Linked DNA regions of Macaca fascicularis. The protein of the gene in region 2 binds, or shares a complex with, the protein of the main gene of each other region. Links are inferred from orthologs where the notes say so. Each region holds a gene or a part of one and is shown on either strand. Other genes may lie near its edges.

The links.
Region 1: the proteins of IPO13 (region 2) and UBE2I are in contact, whole or in part, in a crystal structure (PDB 2XWU), measured with the Homo sapiens proteins. The link is inferred for Macaca fascicularis from reciprocal best matches to the Homo sapiens genes IPO13 and UBE2I. Residues at the interface, in NP_055467.3 of Homo sapiens: Leu33, Tyr34, Tyr35, Asp36, Pro37, Ile39, Lys42, Gln46, Glu73, Tyr76, Gln178, Thr179, Arg181, Gln231, Glu261, Val264, Asn265, Met302, Glu303, His306, Arg310, Val313, Glu317, Asn318, Thr355, Ser358, Leu359, Leu361, Thr362, Ser413; in NP_003336.1 of Homo sapiens: Arg13, Lys14, Arg17, Lys18, Asp19, His20, Pro21, Phe22, Val25, Val27, Lys59, Glu99, Asp100, Lys101, Asp102, Arg104, Lys110, Gln111, Leu114, Ile125, Gln126, Pro128, Ala131, Tyr134, Thr135, Cys138, Gln139, Ser158.
Region 3: the proteins of IPO13 (region 2) and EIF1AX are in contact, whole or in part, in a crystal structure (PDB 3ZJY), measured with the Homo sapiens proteins. The link is inferred for Macaca fascicularis from reciprocal best matches to the Homo sapiens genes IPO13 and EIF1AX. Residues at the interface, in NP_055467.3 of Homo sapiens: Tyr365, Asp369, Leu372, Asn936, Lys937, Arg938; in NP_001403.1 of Homo sapiens: Leu42, Arg82, Lys88, Tyr106, Gly107, Glu108.

Annotation. Positions count from the first base shown.
Region 1 is NC_088394.1:2,054,400-2,058,696, forward strand, and holds the start of UBE2I (SUMO-conjugating enzyme UBC9), read left to right. Parts: upstream 1-1,467; 5' UTR 1,468-1,741; intron 1,742-1,958; exon of another isoform or gene 1,959-2,096; intron 2,097-4,297. UniProt on the Homo sapiens protein: Accepts the ubiquitin-like proteins SUMO1, SUMO2, SUMO3, SUMO4 and SUMO1P1/SUMO5 from the UBLE1A-UBLE1B E1 complex and catalyzes their covalent attachment to other proteins with the help of an E3 ligase such as RANBP2, CBX4 and ZNF451.
Region 2 is NC_088375.1:190,801,799-190,805,369, reverse strand, and holds part of IPO13 (importin-13), read left to right. Parts: intron 1-64; coding exon 65-206; intron 207-314; coding exon 315-481; intron 482-701; coding exon 702-822; intron 823-908; coding exon 909-1,056; intron 1,057-1,482; coding exon 1,483-1,664; intron 1,665-1,748; coding exon 1,749-1,775; intron 1,776-1,969; coding exon 1,970-2,104; intron 2,105-2,253; coding exon 2,254-2,397; intron 2,398-3,571. UniProt on the Homo sapiens protein: Functions in nuclear protein import as nuclear transport receptor. Serves as receptor for nuclear localization signals (NLS) in cargo substrates.
Region 3 is NC_088395.1:20,005,269-20,009,522, reverse strand, and holds the start of EIF1AX (eukaryotic translation initiation factor 1A, X-chromosomal), read left to right. Parts: upstream 1-1,424; 5' UTR 1,425-1,631; coding exon 1,632-1,647; intron 1,648-4,254. UniProt on the Homo sapiens protein: Component of the 43S pre-initiation complex (43S PIC), which binds to the mRNA cap-proximal region, scans mRNA 5'-untranslated region, and locates the initiation codon. This protein enhances formation of the cap-proximal complex.

The DNA of each region.
Region 1 (4,297 bases), on a different chromosome or scaffold from region 2:
GAGTGAGGGAGGGAAGGAATGAATGAATGAGGGAAGGAACGAGTGAGGGAGGGAATGAGTGACGGAATGAGTGAGGGAGGGAGGAATGAGGGAGGGAGGGAATGAGTGAGGGAGAGAGTGAATGAGTGAAGGAGGGAGGAAATGAGTGAGGGAGGGAATGAGTGAGGGAGGGAATGAATGAGGGAGGGAGGGAATGAGTGAGGGAGGGAAGGAATGAATGAATGAGGGAAGGAATGAGTGAGGGAGGAAATGAGTGAGGGAGGGAATGAGTGAAGGAGGGAGGGAATGAGTGAGTGAGGGAGGGAATGAGTGAAGGAGGGAGGAAATGAGTGAGGGAGGGAATGAGTGAGGAAGGGAATGAATGAGTGAGGGAGGGAATGAGGGAGGGAGGGAATGAGGGAGGGAGGGAGGGAATGAGTGAAGGAGGGAGGGAATGAGTGAAGGAGGGAGGGAATGAGTGAGGGAGGGAGGGAATGAGTGAGGGAGGGAATGAATGAGTGAGGGAGGGAATGAATGAGTGAGGGAGGGAATGAGGGAGGGAGGGAATGAATGAGTGAGGGAGGGAATGAGTAAGGGAGAGAAGGAACGAATGAACGAGGGAGGAAATGAGTGAGGGAGGGAATGAGTGAGGGAGGGAATGAATGAGTGAGGGAGGGAATGAGGGAGGGAGGAATGAATGAGTGAGGGAGGGAATGAGTAAGGGAGAGAAGGAACAAATGAATGAGGGAGGAAATGAGTGAGGGAGGGAAGGAATGAATGATGGAGGGAATGAGGGAGGGTGGGAATTAATGAAGGAGGGAATGAGTGAGGGAGAGAAGGAATGAATGAAGCAGTAAGGGAGGGAATGAGTGCGAAAGGGAATGAGGGCGGGAATGAATGAGGGCGGGAATGAATGAGGGTGGGAATGAGTGAGGGAGGGAAGGAATGATTGAGTGATGGAGGGATTGAATGAATGAGTCAGGCAGGGAATGAGGGAGAGAGGGAATGAGTGAGTGGGGGAGGGAATGAATGAATGAGGGAGGGAATGAATGAATGTGGTCAGTCCCCGCGGTCCCCAAGCACCCGGACACCGTGACCTTGGCGGCGGCCCCGCCGTCGGCGAAATGGGGGGCGGGGGGACCGGGAGAGCCCCGGGGCCAGCACGACCGCGCGTTGGCGAACGGAGTATCCCGCGCGCTCGCGGGGCTGGGGGCCTCTCGACCGGTCTCGGGAGTTGCGTGGGCGGGGGGTGGGGGGCTGTTGCCCGGAAGCGCCCCTCCCCCAAGGGCTCGCCCCGCCCCCGCCGCTCGTAGTCTCCCCACGCCCCGCCCCCGCCCAGGGCCCGCCCCCGGATTAGGGAGCATCCACACTTCTCCTCCCGTCGGTCATGCTCGCTTTCGGCCTTTTGTACGGGGTCGGCTCATTGGGCAGATGAGAAGGTCTCTCCGCCCACCGCCCAGAAATGGCCAATTGCAAGAGGTTTCACAGGGCGCTGAACTCGCGGGAGCGTCACCGTCCTGCGACGCTTCTGGGAATCCTTAGGCCTCAGTGGTCTTTGCCCCCCGGCCCCAGGCTCTGACCCCAAGGAAACCTCGGAGACCTGTGCCTGGAGAGGTGACCGCCGGGCATCCGGGGAGCTTTTGGAGATCTCGGCCTCCTTTATCCCCCGCTGCTCGCCGGCGTGTCCTCGGGTGGACGCGGGCACCCCGAAGGGGAGTTTACAGACGCTCCCTCACATCGGGGACGCGGCTCCTTTAAGGGCGTAGGTGTCCAGGGCGCCGCCTGACTGAAAAGTCACCCCCCCGGCCGGGCTCCTGGGGCGGACCCGGGGCGCGGGCGCGCGGCGGCGGGGCACGGGCAGCGGGGGGCGCGCGGCGGCGCGGGCGGTGCTCGGGGCCGGGCGGCGGTGGCAGCGCGCGAGGCAGGCGTGCAGAGGGCAGCCCTGCACCAGGCCCCGCCCCGCGCGCCCCGCCCGCGCCAGGGTCCTCGGAGCTGCTCGGGCTGCGCGCGGAGCGGGCTCCGGAGGGAAGTCCCGAGACAAAGGGAAGCGCCGCCGCCGCCGCCCCGCTCGGTCTTCCACCTGTCCGCGACGCTCGCCGGGGCCGCGGCCGCCCGAGGTGAGCGCGGGCGGGGGCCGGGCCGGGGCCGCGGGGCGGGGGTCGGGCCGAGGCCTCTACTCCTGTCGGGCCCGGGCCCCCGGCTGCCCCGCGCCCCGCCCCGCCGAGCCGGGCCCCGCGCCGCGGCCGAGCTTCCCGGGGAGCCCGAGAGGCCCCACGCTCGGCGCCGGTTCGGTCCGCGCTGCTGGCGCCGCGGGGCTGCGGCCCGAGCGCCCCGGCCGCCGCAGGCCTTGGGGGCCGGGGCTCCCCCACTTCGCCCCCGAGGTGCTCCTGGCGCGGGGCCGGGGCAGCCACCTGCAGCCGGGGCCCCGCGAGGCCGCGCCTTCCTTCTGCGCGGGGAGCGGCTTCCGGGGTCACTGTCGCCCCGCGGACGGAGGGGATGGGTCGCGGGGGAGACTCTTGGATTGCAACACCGCTGGCTCGCGGGGGTGGGGGCCGGCGAGCGGGCTTGTTTTCGGTGCCTTGAAACCAAAACAAGTCTTAAGTTTTCCTGCGCCTCTGAAGATGCTGCCCTGGCGCTTGCTGGGGCCCTGAACGTGAGCGCCTCGCTGGAGGGAGTTTTATTGTTTTGGGGATGGGTTTTTACCGGTTGAATAGTGGTTGGCTCTGGTAGTTAACGTGCGTGGGAGGAAGGTAAGGGAGTGATTAGCTGGGCTTGTGATCGTGGCCTGTAGTCACGCTTGAATCGCAGAATGAAGTGGTTTCGTTTTTATAATTGGAAGTTACGCTTTGTTTCTCTGTTTGCAAAGTGCCTGTCTTTGGGGAGTTCGGTTTGTTTCCTTTTATAGGACCTACGCCGAATGTTTTTTGAAGAACAAGAAACATTGCGTTTGGGTAGAGAAGCTGCGCAGCGGAAGACAGGACGGGACCTGAGTTTGTCCTGATTGCTCCTTCAGAGGTCCCTTCCCTAGACCACTGGGTGGTTGAAGGTGTGCGCTTGTGTGATGTGTCAGGGTTTGGGATCTTGCTTCAGAAACATTCTGGGGGCCTGGGGCAGATCAGGTGCGGCCAGGTGAGCGTCTCCTGACTGCAGGTGCCTGGGTCTTGCAGAAGGGAATACCTCCCCAAGCCTGGGAGAGTTTGCGTTTGGGTGCAGGAGGACCTTTACAGGCTTCTTGTGCCAGCCGTCGTGGCGACCACCCGTTGTGGAGATGAGTGCGGTGGAGTTGTGAGAGGTGAGTGCTTTGCTCACCTTCAGCCAGGAAGTTGCTCGGAAGTCGGTGCTGTCAACCAGCAGAGCAAGGTGGTGATCCGAGAAGCTAAAGCTCAGCCGGTCGCGGGTGCCCAGCAGGACAGAAGGCAGACCTTCAGGCCACTCCTGGAGTGCTTGGCCCTGTCCTGGTTGCTGCAGTGTCTGGGCCTTGCTTGGCTCTGATAGATGAGGGTTGTTTTTGTCTTTGCCTCATATAAGTTCCCTGCTCTGAAGGGTCTAGTAACTGCTAGCCATTCACTTAGTGCTTATCTGTTAATTTGGAAGGGCAAATTCGATTTTCAGCGGGATTTTGAATGCTTCGTCTGTGTTGTGATTACATTGTAACACATTGGCCACTTTCTCCAGGAGGCCAGTAGGAGGGGGAGCAGGGGGAGGGGCCTGGCTTCTGCCTAGGACAGGGTGGGTGTGCACCTGTGGCTCCTTGCCCTGTGGTGCAGTTTCCTGTGAGACCACCCCGTGGTGCTGAGTGCTTTGGGGCAGGGGATACAGCAGCATCAGCCAGACCTTGGCGGGAGGTCTCACAGGAGCACCCTCACGACTTCTCACATCTGAGACAGCAATAGCTAGGTGCTGGGACGGGGGCCTCTAGGTGGCTCTGTCCGGTCTTCAGTAGGAGGGCTACCTGTGGCAGGGTCCCAGGCCTGGCTGGCCTCTCTGGGGCTGGCCTCTCTGGGGCCTGGCCTTGCCTGGCTGTGAGGATCGTGTTGGCCATGGTCCTTCAGTGTCTGGAGCACTGGCCTGGGGCTTCAGAGACCTGCTTGATTCCTGGCCCCGCTCAGACCCCGGGCACCTGGGAGGTCGTGGCTCCTCAAAACGGCCGTTCACCAGGCTGCTTTGCACCGCACCAGGCACAGGCTGTGGCTACTCATGAAGCCCACCCTGGGGCTGGGGAAGCGAGAGCTGTGAGTCCTCAAGCCACAACTGAGCTGCTCCATGTGGAAGTGGAGGGTGGAGACACGTGCAGAGAGAGCCTTGAAACCGTGGTTGG
Region 2 (3,571 bases):
AGAGGTGGGGTTATGGAAGTCCCTGGAGAGGTAGAATGACCTGACTGTGTCTCCTCCTCCCCAGGGCCTTGCTGGACCAAGTAGAGCACTGGCAGAGTTTCCTGGCACTTGTCAACATGATTATGTTCTGCACAGGCATCCCTGGCCACTATCCTGTCAATGAGACCACCAGCTCCCTAACCCTCACCTTCTGGTACACGCTGCAGGTGTGTCTGTGTGACCTCCAGTAGGACTGGGCTGTGGTGGAAGAAGGTGGATCATGGGCTTCTATGGCTGCTGGTGAGGTGGCTAATTGTCTTCCCTGGCTCTCTCAGGATGATATTCTATCCTTTGAGGCAGAGAAGCAGGCTGTATACCAGCAGGTGTACCGGCCAGTCTACTTCCAGCTGGTGGATGTGCTTCTGCACAAGGCCCAGTTCCCTTCTGATGAGGAATATGGATTCTGGTCCTCAGACGAGAAGGAGCAGTTCCGAATTTACAGGTGATGGTAGCAGGCCAGCTCCTCTAAAATGGAGTCCAGAAATAATGAAGGCAATGAGGGAAGGGGCCCAAGGCCAGGCTTTCTGAATTTTGGGGCTCCTTTCTCTGTTTTCTAGGCATTGTTGCAGAGTTGTGGGGGTACTGGGGTAGGCTCCTGGGCTTGGGGGCAGGATCCAGGGTCAGGATCCAGGCAGTATAAAAGGCCTTCATCTGCTTCTCAGGGTGGACATCTCAGACACGCTCATGTATGTCTATGAGATGTTGGGGGCCGAGCTGCTCAGCAACCTCTATGACAAGCTGGGTCGTTTGCTCACCAGCTCAGAGGAGCCCTACTCCTGGCAGGTACCTCCCAAGCCTGATTCCCTCAGCCCTCCCAGACCTGTCACACCCTCCTCCTCATCCAAGCCAGTGGCACCCTCTTTCCCCAGCACACAGAGGCCCTCCTCTACGGCTTCCAATCCATCGCAGAGACCATTGACGTCAACTATTCTGATGTGGTGCCTGGGCTCATTGGCCTCATCCCACGGATCAGCATCAGCAACGTGCAGCTGGCAGACACTGTCATGTTCACCATTGGTGAGACCTGGCACACACCCATGACCATATTCCCAGAGCCACAGCACCCCACCCCGGCCACAGCCAGCATGCTGGATTCTATCCAGAATGGGAGAGCCATGTGCCTACACACAATCAGTGTTGTAACAAACTGACTGTCCTGGCAGGTCTAGGGGGTCCATCTGATGGCACACTGAGCTGAATTCAGTGAGGCTAGTTTACTGTCAGTGAAACAGCAGTACTGGGCTTCTGTTGAGTAACCTCTCCCTGCTTCTCAGCTGTAAGGCTCATGTTTGAGCATGCACATGCATATGTCCTCTGAATGGAGCAGTGCTCTGTGCTAGGGCTGCAACTTGACCCTGCCAGGAACTCTGCTTGCCTCAGAGACATGGTACAAAGCCAGTCTGGCCTGCCTCAAAGATCCTTCTGTCTCCCTCCTTCCTCCAGGAGCTCTGTCTGAATGGCTGGCTGACCACCCCGTCATGATCAACAGTGTTCTGCCCCTGGTACTGCATGCCCTAGGCAATCCTGAGCTCTCTGTCTCTTCTGTGTCTACCCTCAAGAAGATCTGCCGAGAGTGCAAGTATGACCTGCCTCCCTATGCTGCCAACATTGTGGCCGTGTCCCAGGTATGCAGGGGCCCTGGATGGTACTGAGCTTCAGAGCACACTCTGCACTGTGCTGATACTACATTCCTTCTTTCTCCCCCGCAGGATGTGCTGATGAAACAGATCCACAAGGTGCGGCTCAGAAGTTTCTAGGGGTCTCCTTGGGGGTCTTGTGGGAATCTCTTATCCCTGAAATCCTGTTTTTTGGCCTTCCCCTTCCTCTTACCCCTTATTCTCTGTGTTTTTCTTCTCCCAAGAGGCCCGTTTTCCTTCTTACCCCACAACTAGATGTGGCCAGGACTGACCATCCATGTTCTGCCCCACAGACAAGCCAGTGCATGTGGCTGATGCAGGCGCTGGGCTTCCTGCTGTCAGCTCTTCAAGTGGAGGAGATTCTTAAGAACCTGCACTCGCTTATCTCACCCTATATCCAGCAACTGGAGAAGCTGGCAGAGGAGATAGTGAGTGAGCTCTGGGGGCCGGGAGCAGTACTGGTACGCTGTGGCTGATGAGGGGTGAAGGTGGAGCTGGCCCTTAGAGCTGGGGCTCAGTGATCTGGGGACCAAACTGGGGCTAGGAGATCTGGAGCTTGGTTTGCTTCTCCCTGCAGCCCAATCCCTCCAACAAGCTGGCCATTGTTCACATCTTGGGGCTTCTCTCCAACCTCTTCACCACATTGGACATCAGTCATCATGAGGATGATCACGAAGGCCCTGAGCTTCGGAAGCTGCCAGTGCCACAGGGACCCAACCCCGTGGGTGACATTGTCTTTGCCATCCCCCCACCCCCACCTGTGGGAATGTCATTGTCACTCTTCAATTCTGTGGGTAATGTTGTCATTGTTCTCCCTGCCCCGTGGGGGTGATATATTTGGTCCTCTGACTCCATGAATGACCTATAATTGCCTCACTCTGTAGGTAGCAATGTCATTATCTCACTCAACTCTGTGTGTGATGTTGTCCTTGTCCCCAGCCCAATTAGGGTGATGTCATTGAGATTCCTCAGCCTCATGAGGGACATTGACGTTATATCCTTCAACCCTTAAGTGATGTTATTATGGGCCCCTGTTCAACCTCCAGCTCTGTAGGGCCTTCTACTTCAACATTTACTGTCCCCTGTGAGCACTAAGGATGCTCATGACATCCTCCACATGTAGTAGTTCTGGCCTTCAAGTTGCTCCCAGTGCAGAGGAAATTCAAGTTGCTCAGATTGTCACAAAGCAGTGTGATAAGTCTTGTGATAAGCTTGGGCACAGGTTTTGGGGTGACCACTTAGAAGCTGCTTGATCTGGGGCAAGCCTCAGCTTCCCATTAAAAACTGAGAACATTGAAATGTCTGGCTTACTCAACTCATAGAACTGTGCTGGATAGCAGATGTGGTCTTAAGTGAAGGTAGTTTGCATATTGTAAAGTTCTTTACAAAGACTGCTTTGGTTGCTATTCCCAGAACTCCCTCCAGGATTTCTCCAGGAGAAAAGGAAGCCATGGGCATCGTGGCCTCTTTGCTTAACTCCCCAACCCAGTTTCAGTTAGCCTCTTGGCTTTAGACCACACCTGGGCCACTGTCATCCCACAGAGCTGCTTCTTTACATGGTAGTCATCATCCTGCCTTTCCTCACCTCCCAGGACCTCAGTCTGCTCTCTACTCCTCCGTAAGCTGGCAGAGCAGCTTAAGCCTGCATCTGTGCATTCCTTGGGGCTCCCTACCTCAAGCCTATTTGGAGGAGATAACATCTGCTCTTCTTCAGAGGCTAGTCCATAGCCTTGGTTTTACAGAGCAGTGATAGGGGGTGATTTTTTTTTTTAAGTCTACAAAGTTTTTGTAACCTTATGAAGCACTTGTGATATCTCTGCTTTGCAGTTTGAGGCTTCCTTTGAGATGATCCCTAGAATTCAGGATATCCTCCTTTTTCATTCATGAGAGAGTTC
Region 3 (4,254 bases), on a different chromosome or scaffold from region 2:
TATCTTCTTGTAAGGACACCAGTCAGATAAGGGTCCACACTAATGACCTCATTTCAATTTAATCACGTCTTTGAAGACCGCATGTCCAAATACAGTCACATTGAGCTACTGGGGATTAGAACGTGAACATACGAATTTTGGGTGGGGGGAACACAATTCAGCCCATTAACATTGAACTTAAGTCTTTTCTCCCCTCCCTCCCTTCCTTTCTGTGTGTATTGAACACCTATTATGTGCCAGACATTCAGCTAAGTGGGGGTAATGGTAAGCAACTGACATGGTCTCTGCCCGGTAAGGTTTACAGTGAGGTAAGACAGTAATTACCAAAGCATAATATTTGCTTTAGAGTATTAATAATATTACTCTTTAGAGTAATAACAAGTGCCATGCAAATATTATGCTTTGGTAATGGATGACAGGAAAGCCTTGCCCTTCCCATCAGGCTCCCAACCCGGCTGGGCGAGTGAAAAGGTTGCGTTATGAGCCAACCGGCTGGGCGCGGTGGCTCACGCCTGTAATCCCAGCACTCTGGGAGGCCGAGGCAGGCGCGAGTTGAGGTCACTAGTTCGAGACCAGCCTGGCCAACACGGCGAAACCCCGTCTCAACTAAAAGTACTAAAATTAGCTGGGCATGGTGGCATATGCCTGTAATCCCAGCTACTCGGCAGGCTGAGGCAGGAGAATCGCTTGAGCCCGGGAGGTGGCGGTGGATCACGCCACTGCACTCCAGCCTGGGCGATAGAGCAAGACTCCGTCTTAATAAAAAAATTAAAACATTGGCCGGGCGCGGTGGCTTTGGGAGGCCACTTTGGGAGGCCGAGACGGGTGGATCACGAGGTCAGCAGTTCAAGACCAGCCTAGCCAAGATGCTGAAACCCCGTCTCTACTAAAAACACAAAAATTAGCCGGGCGTGATGGCACGTGCCTGTAATCCCAGCTACTCCGGAGGCTGAGGCAGGAAATCGCTTGAACCCGGGCGGCAGAGGTTGCAGTGAGCCAAGATCGCGCCACTGCACTCCAGCCTGGGCGACTCCAGAGCAAGACTCCGTCTCAAAAAATAAAATTAAAATTAAAAAAATATATATTTTAAAAACTGAGCTAACCATGAGGTTAACAAGTCAACCACTTGTCAAACTGGGAGACCCGCGTTTGCTACAAAGCAGCAGAGGTCTGGCTTTAACCAGCAGCGAGCGCCACCTCAAACCGCCCTTTTCTATGACGCAGAGGTTCTCCCCCGCCCTCCCTGACTCCGCCTTTTCCCTGCTTGCGGCCCTGCCCCTCGCGTCCTCTCCGGCTTGCTGCGCACCCTCCCAGAACGCGTCTGCCTCGGCCCTAACAATGGGGGTCAGTCGGCCACGCCTGCGCCATAAAGCCTAGGGGGCGGGCCCAGCCGGCGACGGGAGGCGGGGAAAAGCGACGCAAGCAGTCGCGACGCCATTTGCTGCCGCCGAGCGTGGACGCTGGCGGATCTCTGAAGAGCTCGGTTGCGATCCTCTCTCGCGCACGCTGCCTAGCCTCCAGCACCTCCTTGGTCCCGCGCGCTCCCTCGTGTCGCCCCTCGGAGCAGCAACCGCCTCGGTCGCCGTTACCCGGAAAGAAGTCAGAGACCCCGCGAGGTCGCCGCCACCGCCATGCCCAAGAATAAAGGTAATGCCGCCCGGACCCCCGGACCACGGCCCTCCTCGGCTGAGTTTCCCAGGTCCTGCCCGTAGATTGCAGGTCACCCAGGTCGCAGTGACCCTTTTTCCTTCCCACCCTACCTGCCCGCGGCTGGGCGTCCCACACGCGACTCTGAGCTCGGGAGAGGAGCTGGGAAGTAAACTCCTGTTGCCCAGTTTGGCCACATTGGGGTGGAGCCGACGCCATTTTTGTAGGGCCTCCTGCGGGAGAATGGGCTTTTGCTCCTGATTCGCGCCAGACTGACCGCGGCTCGGTGGCGATGGTGGCGGGAACCCTACACCGGGCGGCCTAGGCTTAGTAGATAGGCCCATCTGGCCTTCCCGGGCATGAGGGGTTAATCCCTGGAAGCCGTTCTGAACTTTAAAAGAGTGCTGTCCGCGTTCGTGAGCACCAGGTACTCCTGCATGGGTCTCTTTATGGACAGTTCAGTATTGTTGAGGCTACTCGTTGTCCCTTGTGAACAGTGGGTGAAACCTTGATGCATTTCTAAGGCTCACTTCTAGAGATTTACTCTCTCCATCCCTTTACAGGATATAGCTTATGTTTGTTTGCTGAAGACTTATTCCATATTTAGCCAAGTTTTCTACTTTTGCTTCAGATCATGCATATGTTGTGAGAATAAAGACCTAATTTAAGTTTTCTCCATTCTGAGGCTAAGGATTCACAAATGATCAGACTTGAGGATAACTTTATTTGGGATTTCCAAAACGAAAGGCCTAATCTTAAAAAAAAAAAAAAAAAAAAAGGCGTAACACTTCTAAATAAATTACTTTTATAGATTTACAGTGTTCCTGTCATTTTTAATAGCCTTATAACTTGTTGAAGAAAATTGTGCAAGTAAATATAGGGAAAATATTGTATTTTCCTACAGGAGAGGAGCATACTTCATAGTCCATAAGTAGTCTCCTTTGATTATTCATTCTTAGGAAATCTTTCCCTGACACAGGCCTACTTCTGCTCTCTTTTCTACTTGACAGCTGGCTCCAGGAATTCTACCACATTTCGTCTTTGTAGCTGTCACTTGTTACTTTATCCCTTAGGGTACTTGGTCAGGGTGTTCTGTGCACAAGTTGGTGCAGTCCTCTCGGGGGCTCTCCACCTTGCTGCCCTCAGAGATCAAACTTTTTGTAGCAAGGATTTTCACTGCTCATTATTTTGGAAAAGATCGAGTTATAAACAAAAAATTTTTTAAGTCTTAGGTTTTCTTCTGTATAATCCTTTATTCTCTCTGAGATGGTAAGGGGATCACTTCCATCTTATTCTCATCTTTATTTCTAGTAATAAGATTTTCAATTCTTCCACCAGGCTGTAAGCTCTAAAAGGCAGGAATAGTATCTGTCTTAATCACATTCGATTGCTAGCACTTGCCACTTAGTAGATGCTCAATAAATATTTGTTGGTTTAAGTCACCTTCCTCCTGTCAACTCCACCCTTAGGTGAATAATAGGTTCTGCTTTGGTTCCAAGGGGATAGGACTTCTACACTAAATCACATCTAGTTCCCTAGCCTCATGTCTTAAGAAAGAGCCTCTCTGGGAATTTCTCCAAAACAACTCTGGTTTAAAGAATGTTGATGTCACTTTAATTGTTGTACACTCAGACCTAGTCTCATTCATTCAACAGAGAATTTAAAGAACATCCCATTACATGGCAATAAAATACAAAGGGGAATGATCAGGGTATGGTTAATTCTGGTAAGTTGACAAGTAATGAATGGTTTCTTAAATAATATTTGAGGCATACAAAAAATACAGCTAACATAATGGACCTGGGAACCCAGGGGTTTCTCAGAACCTGGAAACTCTGAATTTAAGAATTACAACGCAAATTGAGGTAAAGCCCTAATCACCTTTTACTCTCTTTTTGGAGGTTATCACCAGGCTGAGTTTGGTGTTTATCATTCCTGTACTGTCTTGAAACCAATCAGTTCTTAGTTATCTTACTTAGAGGAATGGTACTTTTCATGACCCCTGAATTTTTTGAGATAGGTTTTACTAATGTAGAAATAAAGTCATTTATTGTTCTGTTTTTCTGCATTGGAAAATCCAGAAGCCCTGTGAATATAAGCTGTGGTTACACAAGTAAGGGTAAAATTTGCCACATACTATGTGTTAAGTGACTTTTGCTTTGGATTGATTCATATCAACTTATTCTAGAAATTCTTAGAAACCCATCCTCAAATCAGGAAAAGGGGTATCATTTGGCCCACTCATAAGCATTTAGGGTATAGTGCTCCCACACTTTGAAGAAGTTACTGCCTATGATTTTTAACTCACCACTCCGTTAGGAATGTATGGACTATTCTTGACCAATTCATTTGAAGAATTAGTGAACTCAGGTATATAACTCAGGAAACAGAGCAGGTATGATCTTGCCCTAAAGGAGCTTGCACTCTGTTTTGCAGATCTGGCATGATTAATGGCTTCATACTTTTCTCTTTCTAGGAAATTAGTTTCAGTGTTCCCTAAGAATGCCTCAGATACTGAATTCTAAGGACTCTGAGCGGGTCAGGAAATTGTAGAGGCCCCCCTAAAATAGCACAGAGCAATGTGAGACTGCCCCAGGAGAGAGTAAG